2 linked regions of the Canis lupus familiaris genome follow. The protein of the gene in region 2 purifies or fractionates together with the protein of the main gene of each other region. This does not show direct contact. Links are inferred from orthologs where the notes say so. Each region holds a gene or a part of one and is shown on either strand. Other genes may lie near its edges. The genes, in order: LIG3 and POLB.

The links.
Region 1: the proteins of POLB (region 2) and LIG3 purify together in Homo sapiens (affinity purification with mass spectrometry; 3 studies listed by BioGRID and IntAct, counting the BioPlex papers as one, with this or other methods). This does not show direct contact. The link is inferred for Canis lupus familiaris from reciprocal best matches to the Homo sapiens genes POLB and LIG3.

The regions. Positions count from the first base shown.
Region 1 is NC_049230.1:38,322,207-38,331,679, reverse strand, and holds part of LIG3 (DNA ligase 3), read left to right. Parts: intron 1-1,418; coding exon 1,419-1,562; intron 1,563-3,326; coding exon 3,327-3,524; intron 3,525-4,303; coding exon 4,304-4,455; intron 4,456-5,763; coding exon 5,764-5,930; intron 5,931-6,041; coding exon 6,042-6,119; intron 6,120-6,596; coding exon 6,597-6,765; intron 6,766-8,497; coding exon 8,498-8,653; intron 8,654-9,473. UniProt on the Homo sapiens protein: Isoform 3 functions as a heterodimer with DNA-repair protein XRCC1 in the nucleus and can correct defective DNA strand-break repair and sister chromatid exchange following treatment with ionizing radiation and alkylating agents.
Region 2 is NC_049237.1:24,062,716-24,072,898, forward strand, and holds the start of POLB (DNA polymerase beta), read right to left. Parts: upstream 6,051-10,183; 5' UTR 5,885-6,050; coding exon 5,824-5,884; intron 5,483-5,823; coding exon 5,425-5,482; intron 2,283-5,424; coding exon 2,216-2,282; intron 1-2,215.

The sequences.
Region 1 (9,473 bases), on a different chromosome or scaffold from region 2:
TGTTTTTAAGGACTTCCTTACTTTCTAGCATTGCAGCATGTGCTTAGGCTTACATTATTATTATTTTAAGATTTTGTTTTTAAGTAAGCTCTATAACCCAGTGTGTGTCTCAAACTCACAACTCTTGAGATCAAGAGTTGCATGCTCCACCGACTGAGCCAGCCAGGCACCCTTCTTAGGCTTACCTTGTATGTATCCTACCTACCACCACTCTGGAATCAGCCATTTGTCTAAAGAATCCTGGTTCCAATTAGTGGGGAATGGCTTTAGAGACCAAAATCTAGATGCTCTTTCCTTGTTGCCATGAGGTGTTTATGCCTTTCTTTTTTTTTTTTTGTTTTTTGAGTTTTTATTTATTCATTCATGAGAGACAGAGAGAGGCAGACACATAGGCAGAGGGAGAAGCAGGCTCCCTGCGGGGAGCCCGATATGGGGCTCAATCCCAGGACCCCAGGATCACAACCTGAGTTGTAGGCAGATGCTCAACCTCTGAGCCACCCAGGCATCCCAGGTGTCTTTGCTTTTAAGACCTTTCAGCAGGCAGAAATAGAAAATATATGCATGTTTACACACAAAACACATGCTTACACATACACAGTTATATATATATGTATGCATTCATATGTACAGATTCACGTGTGTGTATTTTTAGAAATCTTATACTGATACTTCCAAATCCAGTTAGTCATTTATGACCTTCCATGTGCTCATCTTTAAAGTAATTTTTGTATCTTCAATTAAGTATAGTTCTAGAAGGTCACTTTGGAGGACTCTGGCAGTGGCCCTAAAAATGGGCAAAAAAATAAAAATGGGCAACTATCTATCACTGTTCTTTGAGAGAAGATGTCCAGGAGAGAAAGCTACTTTGAGTATACTTTTTTTTCTCAAGCTCCCCATCCTGCCCTGCCCTGCCCTGCCCTGACTTGGCCATCTGCCTCAGCCTGTGTTACTTCTTGATTAATCGAAAAACAAGGTAGAATCAAACTCACACAGCTCAGAAGACTCAGCAACAGGGACTTTCCCTGCATGGGCCATCCTAATACTTGCTGTTCTCCATCTTCATTGTACTTTCTTATTCATCTATAAATTGGGGCTAATTCCATGGAGCTGAGGACCCCAGGTTTTATCTGTGGAGATGTGTTCTGATTTTTCCCAAATCCGGAGGTCATTCTATATGGGTTAAGAGGTGGAGAGTGCCGATGAAAATATAAATTACTAATAGAAGTAAAGAGCTCCTCGCCCCAGGACTCTCACCCACTGACTCCACTCAAAAAGGTCAGCAGTCCGCAGCCAACCTTGGAGTGATGTCACGGTAATAACTCATCTGGGAAGGCTGTAAGAGCAGTTGTTAAATTCTTGGGAAGTTTTTCTCAGGGATCTTTCACTGAAACATTTTCCCTCTTTTGGGGGTCCTACAGATCTGTCTTCTAAGGCAACAGGAACACCAAAGAAGAAAGCTGTCGTCCAGGCTAAGCTGACAGCCACTGGCCAGGTGACCTCTCCAGTGAAAGGTGCCTCATTTGTCACCAATACCAATCCCCGGAAATTTTCTGGTTTTTCAGGTGAGAGATTTGAGCTACTTTAGCTGTTATGGTCCTTTTAATTTGGAATCCTATTTGGGATTCTGGCCAAGAGTGAAAATTCTGTGCTATCTATCCTCATTCATAATTTGCTTCCGTCTGAGCAAAGAGGCAGGTAATGGCTAATTTTCAACATTCCCCTGGTATAGCATTTCTTTGTATACGTTAATCTTTAGTGCAACAAAAAAGATGTGTTTTCAAGACTTTTTCCCCTTGAAGTAGTCACCTGGGTCAGATGGAAATGATTATAACCTACCCTATAACTTCCTTGTGTTTTAGTAATGAAGGAATTTTGAGAAATTGCATCCCTAAACTTGCCCAAAGCAGAGATGAAAGTATGGTCAATGTCCTGCATGGCCTTACATAATAGGGAGCATTGGGTTCGGGACTTTTACCTCTGTAGTTACTTGTTTGTTCTTCAGTTAACCTTAGGAAGTACTTTCGCGAGCCCCATTTTATGAGTGAGAGAGCTGATGTCCAGTTCATTATGGAGTTAGTATTGATATTGAGGTCTCTTTAACTCCCAACACCTGTGCTCTTTTACCTTGCACCTTGTTGCCTCTTATTGGGAGACATTCTTGTGACCAACTCAGGTAAAGAAAGTAGAGCAGAACACATGAACTCAGAAGTTGTTCGGGGAAGGAGCTTTAAGCAAGTGAAAGAAACGTAGACTTGACGTTGGGAGACCTGGGTCTTGGTCCCAGGGCTGCCATGGGACAGCTTGCTCAGGGGAGCAAGTTGCTTTACCTCGGAGCCTCTGTGGCCTCATCTGTGAAGGGGGAATGGTAACACCTGCCTCCTTTACCCTACAGTATTTGCATGAGAACTACTGGAGAAAAGATGGCAAAATCAGTAACCCTGAGGTTTGTTTTTTCTTTGGTGGTAGGCCAAAACCAGAAATACAGAAGAGTCCCGGTGGCAATAAGGACAGCATGTTCCTGGAAGGGCCCAGGTCCTAGGGAGGGAAATTTGGGAGGAGCTGAGAGAAATGGGGTGTTCTAAAGTCTTACAATCTGCCAAGCACCAACACTTTGGAGATTTTGTTCCCTAAAATCATCTTTAGACCCTAGGTCAGAGATGAGGATGGATTTATAATTTACAGACCCCAGGCAAGAGGAAGCTTACATCAGCAGCCTGCTTGCTAATGGTTCTGCTGCAAGCTTGCAGAATGAAATGTGCTTTGTAAAGGAGGTAAGAGAGAATCACTCAGGAGTTGTACAGTATTTTGGGGTGTCTGGAGGAAAGTCTTACTCATTGACCCCCTTTTATTTTGGCACTAAGAAGTGGTGAGTGGGAGAGAGCACCAAAAGCCTTGGGATGCCTTCTCTCGGGTCTTGGGCTTCTCAGCAGTAAGAAGAGATTGAACCAGGTCATCTTTAAGGCTTCTTCCAGCCCCAAGTCTACGATAGTGACAGTTTACCACTGATGAACCTGTCCCTTGGTTTCTCTTCCATTCTCTTCTGCACTTTTTCGGTCAGCTTTACCATTGCTCTAAGGCCCACCCTCTGCACAAAGGCTACTTGTTCTATGCGGCACTTCTATAAAGAAACGCACAGCAGCTGAGCCTCTGCGCAAGTGTGAGCCTGTTTCATTACCTGTAAGATGGGTGTCATGGTATCCACCCCATAGGGTGATTTGGGGCAATGAAGTGGAGCTCCATTTGGAGCGCCAGCAGAGTTATTAGTTTCCCTTTCTTCCTTCTCAGCAAGGCAAATGAATCATCCCTGATGTTTCTTTCTCCAACAGCCAAGCCCAACAACTCTGGGGAAGCCCGCTCAAGCCCTACCCCTAAGGCAAGTTTGTCCTCAAGCAGATGTGATCCCAAGCACAAGGATTGTCTGCTACGTGAGTTTCGGAAGCTGTGTGCCATGGTGGCTGAGAATCCTAGCTACAACACGAAGACCCAGATCATCCAGGACTTTCTTCGGAAAGGTTCAGCAGGAGGTGGGATCTAGAACTGGATGGGTTTTCCTCTGAAGAGCTTAGAGCCATGGCTGGTTTCATGGGCATGTGAACCATACCTTTGCACAGGGCCCCATGCGTGGTTTAATCCTCTGTTAATACTGCCTTTAAAGTCTCTCTCTTTCTCTCTTAAGATTTTTTATTTTTAAGTAATGTCTATACCCAACTTGGGGCTCAAATTTACAACCTCAAGATCAAGAGTTGTATGCTCTACCGACTGAACCAGCCAGGCACCCCTTGAAATTCATAATAATTTTGAACAGAGAACTCTTGCCTTTTACTTCTTATTGGGCCCCACAAAGAATACAGCCAGTTCTGCTCAGAGCATATTGGTATCCTTCTTCTTCTGCCTTTATTTGATCCCCTGGAGGCCAGGAGAATGTATTGCATTTGACCAAGAGGAAAGTTCACTACCCTGCATGTTTGATCAGGTTTTTGTGACCCACATGCACAGCTGGAGTAGTCTTCCAGTTCTTTTATTCATCTAACAAATCATCATTGAGCATCTGTAATGTGCTCATCGCTGGCGACACTGAACTGAAAGTGTAGCCATGCCCTCTGGGAGTTCATCCAGGGGAGGTAGCCACGTGAGCCACCAGCCACCAGATGCTGTGGTCTCTACTACTGTAACAAAACACGCAGGGTATCTTGTATCGTGGTAGCGCAGACAGCAATGTAGACCTCTCTTTCAGTCCTTGAGTTTATGTATGTATTTGTTTAAGCTCCATTTCTCAAGAAGGCTTCGATTCTTCTGTCTCCAGATGGTTTCCACGGTGACGTGTACCTAACAGTGAAGCTGCTGCTGCCGGGTGTTATTAAGAGTGTTTACAACTTGAATGATAAGCAGATTGTGAAGCTTTTCAGCCGCATTTTTAACTGCAACCCAGATGATATGGCACGGGACCTAGAGCAGGTCAGAGGAAAGGGAGGGTGGGCAGCGTTCCAGGTGGGGCTCTGCCAAGCCAGGCACCTGCAGCCTCTTTTTTCTCGTTGGGGCACATACTGTTTCAGGAAACTGAAACCCATTTGAGCAAGCTTCCTTTATGAGAGCTCAATGTGAGGCTACAGCCGTTAGTTTCACAAGATTCTGAGGATTGCAGTCATACTGCCACAGAGCCCCAAGGGGCCTAGATTTCGAAGGACAGGATTTGAGATCTCCCATGGTCTCTCCTTGGGTTCCTGTTCAGGACCCTACTTTTTTTTTTTTTTTTGCTTTTTTTCAGTATAACTTGGTATAACATGGGAGCCCTGGGTGGCTCAGTGCTTGAGTATCTGCCTTTGGCCCAGGACATGGTCCTGGGGTCTCAGGGTCCCGGGATCGAATCCCGCATCAGGCTCCCTGCATGGAGCCTGCTTCTCCCTCTGCCTGTGTCTCTGCATCTCACTGTGTGTCTCTCATGAATAAAAAATAAAATCTTTTCAAAATTTAAAAAAAAAAAAAAAAAAAAACTTGGTATAACATTCAGCTTTGTTTATTCGTGACTCCAGTTTTGGCATCATGGAAGGTTTTATCCAAGCCACCCCCCCTTATCTGATGACCATATTTGTTTCTTAGTTCAAATTCATTATTTTTTTAAATATTTTTCGAGAGAGAGAGGAGGGCAGTAGGGGAGGGGCAGAGGGAGAGAGAATCTTAAGCAGGTTCCACACCCAGCACATGAGCCCAAGAGGGCTCAATCTCACAATCCTGAGATCATGACTTGAGCCAAAATCAAGAGTCAGACACTTAACTGACTGAGCCATGCAGGTGCCCCCCGCTTAGTTCAAATTCTAACAGGAATCAGGGACACCTGGGTGGCTCATTGGTTTGGTGCCTGCCTTTGGCCCAGGGCGTGATCCTGGAGACCCGGGATTGAGTCCCACGTCAGGCTCCCTGCATGGAGCCTGCTTCTCTCTCTGCCTGTGTCTCTGCCTCTCTCTCTGTATCTCTCATTAGTAAATAAATAAAAATTTTTTAAAAAGCTTAAAAAAAATTCTAACAAGAATCAAATTGGCTCAGTCCTGGATTAGTCCTTATATCACCTCTCGGCCAAGGCAGGTGGCCAGATCTTGTGGTGGGTAGAGGTGCTCTTTCAGAAACTGTGGGTGGGATAGATTGTCCAAGAAGTGAGATTAATATGTGTGAGTTGGGGACATGAGTGATGTTCACTGTTAGTCCTGAAGGCTTGGGGGAAACACTCGGCCATTCTGGGGTTGCAACAATTTTGGTTTTTGGAGACAGGGCGACGTGTCAGAGACAATCAGAGTCTTCTTTGAGCAGAGCAGATCTTTCCCCCCAGCTGCCAAGAGCCTTCTTACCATCCAGGAAGTGGACAAATTCCTCCTTCAGCTCTCCAAGCTCACCAAGGAGGATGAGCAGCAACAGGCCCTGCAGGACATCGCCTCCAGGTGGGAGAGCTGCCCAGTGAGGATGGGCTTGGGGTGATAGAATCACCAGGAAAGGAAGGTTTAGGGGTCCAGAGCTCTCCAAAGACCAAGTGGAATGTGCCTTCCCCCTAGGTGTACAGCCAATGACCTTAAGTGCATCATCAGATTGATCAAACACGATCTGAAGATGAACTCGGGTGCAAAACACGTGTAAGTACCAATCCCTCTGACAGCCTTAGCTGCTGGCTTCCTGTGTTGCCAGCTGGTGTCAGGAGTTTTAAGTCCTGATCTGGATTCAAGTCCTGGTTCCACCTTACTCCTTCCTTCGGGGCCCATCACTTGACCTAGCTCAGTCTCCATTTTCTTATATGAAATGTCAGAATACCCTTCTCACATAGTTATTAGAATTGAAAGCATAGAAATGTTCAATAAATAGAGTATGAGTTACTTGCCCACTCTAGCTCCCTCTTTGCTTAAGGCAGTATCCATGTTGACCCAGGATCTCAAAATCATTGAGTTTTCCAAGAACATTTTATCCTGCAGAAGGCTTTAAACAGTAGAACGTAAGCTTTCTCCCTATATTGGAATCCTTCCTCTCTGCAAGAACTGACTGCTAGCTAGCTAAAGCAATAAGGTCAAAGGCAATGGTTTTTGTTTTTTTTTTTTTGCTCCTGTCTGCCCCGGCAGGTTAGATGCCCTTGACCCCAATGCCTATGAAGCCTTCAAAGCCTCACGCAACCTGCAGGATGTGGTCGAGCGGGTCCTCCGCAACGAGCAGGAGGTGGAGAAGGAGCCAGGCCAGAGACGAGCTCTGAGTGTCCAGGCTTCCTTGATGACGCCAGTGCAGCCCATGCTGGTAAGGATGCTGCTCTGGCCCTACTTTGTCCAGATGTTCTAACCTTCCCTGTGAGATCTGGGAGGGTATGAATGTCGGAGGAGTTTGGGTCAGGCACAATGGAGATGCAAAAGGGTATATCTCAATGGGTGTATAAAGGTGAAGGAGAAGACTGTGGTCTGGTAGAAATGTCTGAACTTGAGGCCCAGCTCTGCCGCCAGCAAGCTGTAGAATCTGGAATGAATTACCTAGCCTTTCTTGGTTTTTCATTTCCTTGCGTGAATTATGTATGAAACCATCTGAAGCATCTAGTTAGAATCCTTTTTCAGTCATCTTTCCTAAAGATAGGTGGATACATTAACTCCTAAAGTTCTGTGACCTACCCCAGAGTAGCTCTGACAGTTATAGTGGCAGAGCCAGGCTTCCTGTGACACAGTGACTTGACCTCTTTCTTCTGGAAACAAGCCTAAGGAATGAAGACCAGGTCTGACTTGGTATAACATGGGAGCCCTGGGTGGCTCAGTGGTTGAGCATCTGCTCAAGATCATCTTGAGCCTCTGCTCATTTCATGAGAAGTAGGATTTCCTATCTACATTGGTTTTTCTGGGCAGTGGGACCCTCCCCAAATGCCATGCCTAGTGAGAGCCTTGGGGTTGCTCCATTGGGGTGCAGTGCCTTTCATGAGCCTGTCTTGTGACATGTAGTCTACAATATAGACTACAGCCTTTGGTTAGGGTTCTGTGTTTGGGATGGGGAAGTGTTTTCTCTCTCCCGGAATGTGGCACGGCCAGCACCAAAGTAGTGAGCTCTGCATCCCAGGGACAGGACTCAGATCACAGTAGTGATCTTTCTGACTTTCATACGAATTCTTCTTGGAGTCTGTTGTACAACCTGCCATTTATTCAAAGAGTGTATAGGTTAGATAGTTTCGTGATAAACTACACAGGCTTTGGAGTTGGGCCTAGCATCATTCCTGCCCCTCACTTGCTGTATAACTTGAAGTGAGGACTTCTAATGCTCTTCAAACTGGTTTTCTCATCCATAAAATGAAAACTGTGTCTATCACATAAGATGATCTGACACATACAGACACCCCCAGGATGGTAGTGGTTAGGTTGAGTCTGGATGGCACTGGTATGTGCAGAGGCACTCTTGTGGCCTGTCCTGGGGCTCTCTGACCACTGCTACCATGCCAGCCTCTCTGTCGCCTACCTCTCTTTATCTTCCCCTCTACATATCTCCTGTGCTGAGGTCACTGCTGTTTTGGGGGATTTTTTTTTAAGATTTTATTTATTTATTCATGAGAGACAGAGGCAGAGACACAGGCAGAGGGAGAAGCTGGCTCCTCTTAGGGAGCCCGATGTGGGATTCGATCCCAGGACCCTGAGCCAAAGGCAGACACTCAACCACTGAGCCACCCAGGCATCCCTACTGCTGTGTTTAATAGGAAGCCAAGGCCCTGCAAGATCCTGAATTACTGAGAAAAAAAAAATGAAATACTGTTTCAGTGGAATTTTATTTATTTGTAGTCCCCAAAAGCCCAGCTCCTGTTTTAGCTGCAGTGATGCTTATAGTCCAAATAAGCACTGCCTAGCCTTGTACATTTCCCCCAGCTCTTGAGCAGTCTGCCTGGAGGGTATCCTGTGGTCAGCAGGCCTTGGGACCTGGACTCTGGGGCTGTCATGCCCAAGCAGCCCCCAGTGAAGAACACCTATAAGTCTCCAGGCTTTTCTTTCCCCTTCCCCCTCCCAAGGCCGAGGCCTGCAAGTCCATCGAGCATGCGATGAAGAAGTGTCCTAACGGCATGTTTTCCGAGATCAAGTACGATGGGGAACGAGTCCAGGTGCATAAGAACGGGGATCACTTCAGCTACTTCAGCCGCAGCCTTAAGCCTGTGCTGCCTCACAAGGTACAGGTCCCTTCCTCTGCTGGGACCATCTCCCTCCCTTCCCCTAAGAACCTCGAGGCTGTGGTTCTGTAGTCCTTTCAGCTCTGGTATGCAGTAGAGTTTCTTTTGTATTTGTTGAATGAATGTATGTATTTTTGGAGTCTTGCAATGAAGGGCTGCTCAGTGGGGACACCCGAAGATCCCACACTTGGGTTAGCACAGAGCCCCAGGGGACGGTGACATTCCCCTTGCCCACATTGATGCTGGGACCATGAGCTCACCTGGCAAGTGACTTGCAGTGCTTGTCTTCTGCGTTTCCATGTCCTGTGTGCTCCACGAGTGAAATTACAGGTTAGGGACAAAGAAGCTATTGGGCTGTCCTTCATGAATTTGATAAGCCTTTACTGAGTGCTTAGTCTGCGCTAGGTGCTATTCTTGATAGTGGATGTACAGCAGTAAAAAAAAATGGACAAAAGTACTTGCCCTCCTCCCCCGCCAGAAGCTTACATTGTGATGTAAACACAATCCAGTGGGGACATCTGAGAGCACAGACTCCTGTCCTTTATTAAGGGGCTTTAAGAACCTTGCCCCTGAGTCCTCAGCAGCCAGGGTTTCTGTGAGCTTTGGGGCACTCCTCAGGGAAAAGCTGCTGGGATATCTGGCCCCAGTAGCCTTTGAGTAGAGGGGACTCTCTGTGCTTGCTATGCCTTCTCTCCCAGGACAGACTCCATTTTTCAGAGCCCTGGGGGTGGAGGAGATGTGTTGGGTGGCTCGCGTGCTTCCCTCACCCCTGCCTCCCTGCTGGAGCACCGGGCATTGGGCCATTCATTTCAGATATGCA
Region 2 (10,183 bases):
TTTTCTACATCTCTATCCATACTGTATACTATATTTGATAGTTTGATAGCACCATACAGCATCTTGTTTTAATTTGCAACTCTGTTTATTAGTGAGCTGATCTTTTTCATGTTTTTGATCCTTTTTATTTTCACTTTTCCCCTTTAAATAAGGGCTTTTATAGAGTAGTTACAGGTCCACAGCAAAACTGATCACAAAGTAGAGTTCCCATAGGCCCCCAGCCCCCCATACATGCACAGCCTCCTCAATCATCAACATCCCCCACCACAGTGCTACATTTGTCATAGCTGATAAACATACACTGAAGTATCATCATCAAAGTTTACATTCCGGTTCATTCTTGGCAGTGTTGGTCCTTTTTAGTTAAATGTTCAAATGCATCAACATCTGTGCCAGTCATTTCCTACTGTCTCTTGGCCCTAAGTTCACCCTTCTATATTCTTGATTTATTTAATGATTAAGTGTTCCAAGACTACTGAATGCATATTCAAGTTCTGAAAATAGCAATTACCCAATAGAAGGGAACAAGATATAGGAAATAAACTAGAAAACGGAAACTGCTCAGGTTTCTTATTTCCTAGGTCAGAAGATTCATCCTGACCTAAAGTAATTTAGGCCCTGGCTACTTTCTATACCTAACGTTAAAGATTAAGAGGCAAACACTCACTCTGGAAACATCAGATTTCTAGAATTTTTGAGAAGCACTCATATGTGCCGAACAGTAGGTCTGTGATTTTTAATACAATATTGGAAAGGAATAATGATGAGATTGTCATATTAAGTCCAGTCTCATGCAAAAGGAATTTTGCATTTTTGTGTTCTTTTTACGGATATACCATAAGCTCAGATTTGGGATAAAGTGTATCAGAGCTTGTCTAAAATTTAAATCTAATAAATGAGTAGGCTACATACAGTTAACATAGAAAAAGAAATTCTTTTTTTTTTTTTAAGATTTTATTTATTTATTCATAGAGACAGAGAGAGAGAGAGAGGCAGAGAAAGAAGCAGGCATCATACAGAGCCTGATGTGGGACTCGATCCAGGGTCTCCAGGATCACGCTCTGGGCTGCAGGTGGCGCTAAACCACTGTGCCACCGGGTCTGCCCGAAAAAGAAATTCAATAGTGATATAAGGCAAACAGAATGGAAGCAGAAGTACCTCCTGAAGTTAATAATGCGGGAGTTCACCAACAGAAAAACTCAGAATCAAAATCCAATGTATTTATAACTTTCTTGGCTAGCCTATTTGGGGAGGATATACTGACACTGAGAATTGTTTATAGCACAAAGAATTTAAAACCTGTACACCAAGGCATGGTCAGTATTGAGTAATAAATTCAAGATGAAGATGTAAAACATGATTAATACAGAAAATCTGTCAATCATAAAATGTACAAGATTTATGGTAATTTTGTGACCCTGAAGGTGAAAATAATAGGACAGTTATGGTTCATACTCTGAAGGCTCTCATGAGAAAATTAAAGACAATCAAATGTTGCTACCTAAATTCTAGAGTGCTTTTGTCAACAGAAGAAGGTGAACTGTGAGGACCTAGACTAATCAGAAGCCATGTCAGTTTGACATCTTTAACAAAAGACAAATAAGATTCAGTCCTCAAGTTTGAGGAACTTAGAATCTTTTAGTGAGATTTAGATGAAAGAGAACAATCTACCAATAGGTAGACTTTCCTAGGATATTCATAGCAATATAATTGTATTAATGTAAAGTTACTAAGACATGACCCTCTAGGAACTATGACACATACTGTGACACAGCATACAGGGCTTTAAGGAAAATACAGAGAAGAGGGCTAAAGGAAATAGTACACAAAGGGGCTTAATTATGTGATTAGTAGGTAAGATTTCCTTGGGAACACTAACTCATTAACTCACATAAGTTCCTATACCTGGGGATCAGACAAAGATAGCTGGGATCAAAACAAGCCAATACCATTCTGTCACTATACTGTTCTTGAGAGCTGACACTCAAGCTGAAATTTAATGTAAGTACATATATATATAGGGCAGGGTATAGAAAAAATTTAATTACATATATATAAAGCAAAATTTCAATCCACACTCCCCAGTAAAAACAGGAGCAGTAAAATCTGCCAGTGTGGATGAAGGCAGCTTCAAAGAGGCAAATTTAGTTTTCTGGGAATCCACCAAATTTATACATGTGTGAACTCTTCAATTCAGCTTGCTCACTAAACTTACCAATTTTTTAGCTTCTGCTCCACTCTTTATTTTGTGTGGGTACTTTGCTATCACAGATGCTGCTTTTCTGAGAAGAAAAAAAAAAGAAATTCAGTTAGAAATCCAGTGAAGTCTTAATTTTTCTTAAATTAGAATACACACACAAATATGCAGCTTCAACTTTTATGACAGTAACTAATTTTCCACATTTGTGTCAAACTTAAAATAACTCGAGTAAGCTGACAGACCACCTGCATAATTTTCAGAAGTATCTTGAAAATCCTCCCATTTGAGGATAATTTTACCTATATATTTATAATTACGGAGATTCATCACACCAGTAGCTTTTCCTTTTAGGGATTAAGCTAGTTTTTAGAAGTTGTTCGTAACTCTCATAAAAAATGTGCCACCTAGTGGTATTTGGAATACTAGATACCAAAGTGGCTTATGGATGGCTATGGGGTTTTTGTTGTTGTTGTTGTTTTTAATATTTTATTTATTCATGAGACACACACACAGAGAGGCAGAGACATAGGCAGACTCCCTTCAGGGAGCCTGATGCAAAACTCAATCCCAGCACCCTGGAATCAAAGGCAGACAGACGTTCAACCACTGAGCCACCCAGGGGTCCCTTGCTATGGGCTTTTTTAAAAAAAAAGATTTATTTATTTTAGAGAGGGGAGAGAGAATGATAATAAGAATGAAAATGAGAGAAAGAGAGCATGCATGTGTGGGGGAGGGGCAGGGAAGGAGAGGGAGGGGGAGAGGGAGAGGGGACAGGGGAGTGGCAGAGATGGAGAGAGGGGGAGGGAGAGAATCCCAAACCGACTCCACTCCAAGCACAGAGCCTTACACAGGGTTTGATCCCAATACCCTCAACAGAAACCAAGAGTCGGACACTCAGACTGCGTCACCCAGGCGACCCTGGATGGCTATTTTTACTTATTTTTTAAAAGATTGATTGATTGATTGATTCATGAGAGACACAGAGGGGCAGAGATACAGGCAGAGGGAGAAGCAGGCTCTCCATAGGGAGCCTAACGTGGGACTCGATCCCGGGAGTGGTGCCCCTAGATGGCTAGTTTTAAATTCAGAGCTTAAAACTACAACTGCATTCCCCTATGTCCTTATACATATTTTCTTTTTCTTCATTGCTCATTTCAGTTCCACATAAAGCACTGGCCTATGATTCTTGCCCATCTCCACGCACATTCAGCTCAATAATCTGGTGACACACTGGACACACCCTGGAGTATTTGATGGTCTCTGGTGTATAATTTCAATGCTAAATGCAGTTTAGCAGAGAGGCTGATAAAAGCAGAGTACATCTAAGTCTAAAGCATAAGTATTGGGTAGTCTTTGCTGCCTTGGTTTTTCATATCATTCTCGTACATATAAGCTTTTAGATTTGGATTTGAACTTCTCTATTACTGAGGATGAGTCTGGAAAAGTAGGTTGAGGGCAGTTTACTGAGGGAATTGTTTCAGTAAAGAAAAGCAGTTCCAGACAACTTGGCATTATGGGGCCTGAAAGGAAGAATTAAAGCATGAAAGGCTTTTTGTATGCCACCACAATGCATTTGAGCTTTATCAAGGTAAAGAGGAAATATTTAATTATCTGATATGGAAGAATGACAGGATCAGATAACTATTTTCAAAGGAATACTTTGGCCACAATCAAGAGAAATGTTTCATCAGGGTAGGGAAGTGCGTGCAGGCATCACCTGCTTTTCCAGACTTACTTCCCACTCAGGCCATACTCCATAAACAAAGTGAATTACTGACGTCTGGGAAAATGTTATACTCCTTCAGGTCTCAGTGCCTTGGCACATTTTGTTTCCTTTCTCTAGACTGTTCTTCCTTTCACTTATCCCCTGACAGGCTCCTTAAAAACTAAACACCTCCTCTCTGAAGCCTGCTGTGACTTACACAGAATATAATGTTGTGGGACTCCTGGTGGCTCAGTGGTTGAGTATCTGCCTTTGGCTCAGGGAATCATCCTGGAGTCATCCCGGATCCAGTCCCACATCAGGCTCCTGCATGGAGCCTGCTTCTCCCTCTGCCTGTGTCTCTGCCTCTCTCTCTGTGTCTTTCATGAATAGACAGAAAAAATATTTTTTTTAAAAGAATATAATGTTGAATATGTCTCTGATTTTTAAATCACCAAGTGATGATAGTACAATTACTTTAAACAGGAAGTTAAGAGGGATAAGGAAAGGAGCATAATCCGTTTTTAATTATGTTGAATGGGAAGGGAAGTATTGAGCTGAACTCAACTTTGAAAGGATGAAGATAAAGGTAACAGAAACCTAAGAATCTGGAGAAAAGCCCAATGAGATACAGATTTGGAGCCAATTGACATAACCAGTATCCAAAGCCAAGAATGGTAAGATTGCCAAGGAAATTATAAAAGTGCGAAAAAAAGACTAAGGGCAGACCTCCAGGAACTACTGTCATTGAAAGGAAGATATAAGAGGTGAAAGAACAGACAGGAGTGCCATCCCAGAATTCAAGGGTAAGACTTAAATGGAATGAGCTAATGGTGAATGCCAATGAGAGCCCAATAAGGTGGGATGCAGGTGAGAGCACCTTCAGAGAAATGGTGGGATGGAAATTATACCACAATGAGATAATGAATGATGAGGACTGAGGAAGTCAAGGCAAGAAACACAGATTATTCAAGAAGTTTAACTGTAAAGTGGAGAGGAGAGACAGCACCTACCTAAAGGGTAAAGGGAAGACAAGACTGCTTTGTTTTTGCTTTTAAGAGCTGAGGGACTTGGACATGTTTGTAGGCTGAGGGGCACAAATAACTGGATGTGGGATTATCGGCTGCCATAAAGGCTCTGGTGAGATGGACAAGGATGAGAGCCAAGGATCAGCCAAACACTAACCAGAATAACATTTCACAGCACAGACCTAATCCACTGTCTTTCATTATGGCTTAAAATCAAACTCCATTTTCATCAATTCATATTTGATGACGGGAAAAATACATTATCAGCTACACCTGTTTTCAATTAGAATTGGGAACTCGTCAGAAACGATCCTTACAGAGTTCTGCCCAAGTTACCCCAGAACGATCGCAGTTAGGTACCACCACAGAGCCAATACCCTCAGTTCTTGCTTTATTCGCCTCTCATATGGTCCAAATATCTACTGGCCCCTCGGCCCTGTTAACTGCCACACATCCCAGGACGCACGCTACCAGAGAAAGCTGCACGGGCCCACCTGTAAGCATTGTACTTGTGGATTGCCTGGTTCACGTTCTTCTCAAAGTTTGCGAGTTCTGCAAAGGCAACAAGAGGCTCGGGTGAATAAGAACCACGAGTAAACAAACGAGAACTGAGCTTTCCAGAGGGGGTGTAATAGCGTCTTAAGGGGGAGTGACACCCCCCCCCCCCTTGTACGCGGGCCAGGTCAACCACAGCCCCAGCGGTGACACGGGGGTCCCCAGCAGGACTGACATTCAGCCACCAGCAATGGGCGGCGGAGGAAGATCCGCACGGAAGACGACCCGCTGCAAGGGGCTGGCCCCATCCACAGGGCTGTGGGGACCGCAGAGAAGCAAGGGAAGGCTACGAGACCAGAAGAAAGAAGAAAGCCAGCAGCGCCCGGCCCGGTGCTAACCTGTGAGCATGTCGGTGATTCCCCCGTTGAGCGTCTCCTGCGGTGCCTTCCGTTTGCTCATGGTGGCCTGCACCCGAGGACCGCAGAGTGCTCAGAGTCGGGGCTGGCCCCCTCTCCCAGCTTCAGGGAGAGGCCGGGACTTGGAGAGAGGGGCAGGACCAATTCAGCCCCGGCACAACCAGCGAGACCCACTGAACAATGGCCGCCTCTGACAGGAGGCGCGGCGCACGGCGCGCGTCATGGCGTCACGCGCCGGGGGCGTGTCGAGAAGGGGCGGGGCTCGGGGCGGGGCTCGGGGCGGGGCTCGGGGCGGGGCTCGGGGCGGGGCTCGGGGCGGGGCTCGAGCGCGGTGCCGGAGAGCTAGGCTGGGATGGCTGGACCGAAGCTCGTGTTTGCTAACTGCGTTCCTGGAAGAAGACCTGCATTCCTAGAAGACATTATGTCTCTATTCCCAGTACACTTCTCTCCCCAGAAGGGGAAAAGAAGGCATCGACTTTGTAAAGTCAAAACGTCAGGTGGTGGGTGGGAGATAGCATACCAAAGACTCCTCTTGTGCATGTATCATATGTGCACAGAAATAGTTATTGAATGCATGACTTATTATACGTGGTAAGAAACGAACATCTGCATCATATTTACTGTCCACATTTTCTGTAAGAATGTAGTGCCAGTGAACAGTGCAGTGGAGTTTCCTATCTCGGGTGCAGGCAGGAGCCTGGAACGAAATATGCCAATTACAGGAAAGCCTCCTATACTAACATATTTAGTGGATATGCCAATCAATGTCAAAGGTATTTCATTTTTTTATTCCCCTGCCTTTTGCAGTGGGGGCTAAAGAGGGGGGCGGGGGAACAGTGGAAGAGGAAAAGTGCTTAACCTACATAATAATAAACAATGAAACTGTCGTTAAAGCATGATGACCTGGGTGCCTGGCTGGCTCAGTCCCCGACTGTGAGCGTGCCACTCTTGAGCTGGGGGTTGTAAGTTTAAGCCTCATGTTGGATGTAGAGATTACTTGTACTATAAATACAATTTATAGGAGCACCTGGTTTGAGCATCTGCCATTGGCTCCAGCGGTGATCCCAGGGTCCTGGAATGAGTCCCTGCCGCGAGCCTACTTCTCCCTCTGCCTATGTCTCTGCCTCTGTCTCTCATGAATAAATAAATAAAATCTTTTAAAAATAATAAAATTTAGGGACCCCTGGGTGGCTCAGCGGTTGAGCGCCTGCCTTCAGCCCAGGGCATGATCCTGGAGTCCCGGGATGGAGCCCACATCAGGCTCCCGGCATGGAGTCTGCTTCTCCCTCTGCCTATGTCTCTCTCTCTCTCTCTCTCTCATGAATAAATAAATAAAATCTTTTTTAAAATAATAATAATAATAAAATTGATAAAATGGAAATGTGACATCAGCAATGTTTTATTTTACAAGTGTGTCTCCTGGGTTCATACTGAACTGCCAATTCCAGGCAATCGCTTTGTATGGAAATAAAACTAAAAGCTTATTGCAAAATAATACACGACTATTGTAGAAATATTTGAAAAGTGTACAAATGGGGGCAGCTGGCTGGCTCAGTTGATTTAGCATCTGCCTTTGGCTCAGGTCATGATCCCAGGATCCTGGGATGGAGCCTGCTTCTCCCTCTGCCTCTGCCCTCTGCTCATGCTGTCTCTCAAATAAATAAGTAAAATATTTGAAAAATATATAAATGGAGAAAAAATAAATAATTATCTCACCATCCAGCTCAACCATGATTAATTTTTTTGCGATGTACTTCTAGTCTTGTAATCCAGTTCTTTAAAAATTATCATTATTTTTCAACAATGAGGGATCCCTGGGTGGCGCAGCGGTTTAGCGCCTGCCTTTGGCCCAGGGCGCGATCCTGGAGACCCAGGATCGAATCCCACGTCGGGCTCCCGGTGCATGGAGCCTGCTTCTCCCTCTGCCTATGTCTCTGCCTCTCTCTCTCTCTCTCTCTCTCTGTGACTATCATAAATAAATAAAAGTTAAAAAAAATTCTTTTTCAACAATGGAATAATGCTTTAGATACAAGCGATTTCTTTGATTAACAAGGTTGCGGTTGGTTGTTTTTTCATAACATCATTGTATATCTTAAGTTATGCTTATTGGATATTTGTGTTTCTTCCTTTGTGAATTTTCTGTGTATCTTTTGTTCATTTTTCTCTTAGGGATAGTTGTCTGCTTTAATTTGTTAGCTCTTTTATATATAAATACTAATCCTTTATGTATATTGTATGTTTTTTGCAAATATTTGTATTTCTCCAACTTGTACTTTGCCTATTTATTTACTTTTTTATTTGGTTGTCAAATCATCCTTTTTTGAAATATTTTCCTTTGTAGTTAACTAGCTAGACATTCCATCGCACTACTGTTGATGTCATCTGTGATGTCCTGAGGGTGGCAGCCTCAACATTGTAGCCCACAGCTGGGCAGTCGCAAGACATCTTTAAAGGTTCTAGAGAATTCTCTGGCTAAAGATCACTGAAGCATCTGTCGGGCAATATTGGCAATCTCAGCAAAAGTGACATTTCCACTGTGCTTAATGTTTTTCTGCTTCTTTCTGTTTCTTGGTGGTTCCTTAAGGGCTTTGATAATCAGGACAGAGGCAGAGGGTAACAGTTCAATCTGGGCCTGTCTATTCTGAATGGTCAGTTTCACTGTAATCTGCAAACCCTCCCAATCACTGGTTGCCTTGGTGATGTCATCACTTTTTTTTTGGAGACAGACCCAGGGGGCTGATCTTCAGGGCCAGGGCAGACTTGGCACCAGCCTCACTGCTGGTGCATCTCAGGTACACGACTTTGATCTCGTTGGGGTTGAACTTAGGCGGCATGGAGGAGGCGGCTGGTGTTGGTGTCGGATGAACAGAAGACAGTTACACCTTTGCCCTCTTTGAGTCAAAAGCTGAAAAGGTACCTTGCCTTTTTAACACAGATACTTAATGCCTTAATTCCCATCTTTGTTTAGATATATGAATTGTCTTAGTATTTTTCCCAGTTCAGCTTTTTTCCTACTCAATCTTTATTCCAGGCCATATTCATATTATTTTGTTCGGAAGAATGATCATCCCTCATTAAATTAAGAAAGTTTTTATTCAGAAGCGCATGAATGGCTCAGGTAGTTGAGCATTGACTCTTAATTTTGATTCAGATTGTGATCTTGGGATTGTGGGGTGGGTTCCAACCCCGAAGTCAAGCTCTGCCCTGGGTGAGTGAGGAGCCTGCCTGGGGACACTCTCTGCCCCTCCCCTGCTCATGCTCTCTCTAAAAAAAAAAGAAAAGAAAAGAAAAGTAAAGTAAAAAGTTTTTATTCACCTTTGAAAAATGAAAGTTACAACTTTAGGGAACTCTGGGATTGTTTTTTATATAAGTATTGTGTTCTATATGAGTATTATGCCATTTTTATAGGAGTATAAAATACTCATTGTATGTGGGTAGTATATATGAGGATTATACTTTTTAAAAATCAGTGCCGGGCAGCCCAGGTGGCTCAGTGGTTTAGCGCCACCTTCAGCCCAGGGTGTGATGATTCTGGAGACCCAGGATGAAGTCCCACGTCAGGCTCCCAGCATGGAGCCTGCTTCTCCCTCTGCCTGTGTCTTTGCCTCTCTCTGTGTATCTCTCATGAATAAATGAATAAAATCTTTAAAAATAAAAGAAATATTTTTCTTTTATTGAGGGTGAGGAAGATAGTGTTGATGGTACAGAGTGAGCAAGGATGAGAATGGCAGATCATGGTACCAAGGATCGTGTAGCATGCTCAGTGGACACAGAGGTGGCCAGAGTGGTGGTAGCAAAGTGAGAGCAGAAAGTGCCGCTGAAAAAAAAAAAAAAAAAAGAAAGTGCCGCTGAAGAAAATTGTAAGTATTCCGGATCTGGATATATTTTGAAGGTTGAACCAACAGGATTCATTGGATAAATTGGGTGTGGGGTATGAAAAAAAGAGAGTAGTCAGGGTGAATCCATGGCCATTGAACTAAGTAACTGGAAGAACAGAGCTGTCATGTAAGGAGATAGAAGACTGTGAAGAACAAGTTTGGAGGGGAAAAAATCAAGACTTGAGTATGGAATGTGAGATGTATACCTAGCCTGACAATGCTGAAGGGACAGTGGGATATATTATCCTGGGGTTCAGGAGAGATATCCAAGCTGGAGGTATAATTTTGAAACCATCAGCATCTGTATGGTATTTAAAACCATGAGGCAGGAATAAATTGCTTTGGGAATATGGCTACATTAGAGAACTTCCTTGTGTGTGTCTAGAATTTTAGAGGTCAGGGCAAGGTCACAGAATCAGCCAAAAAACAGGAAGAGCCACTGGTGAGGATGAACAGGATTAGAG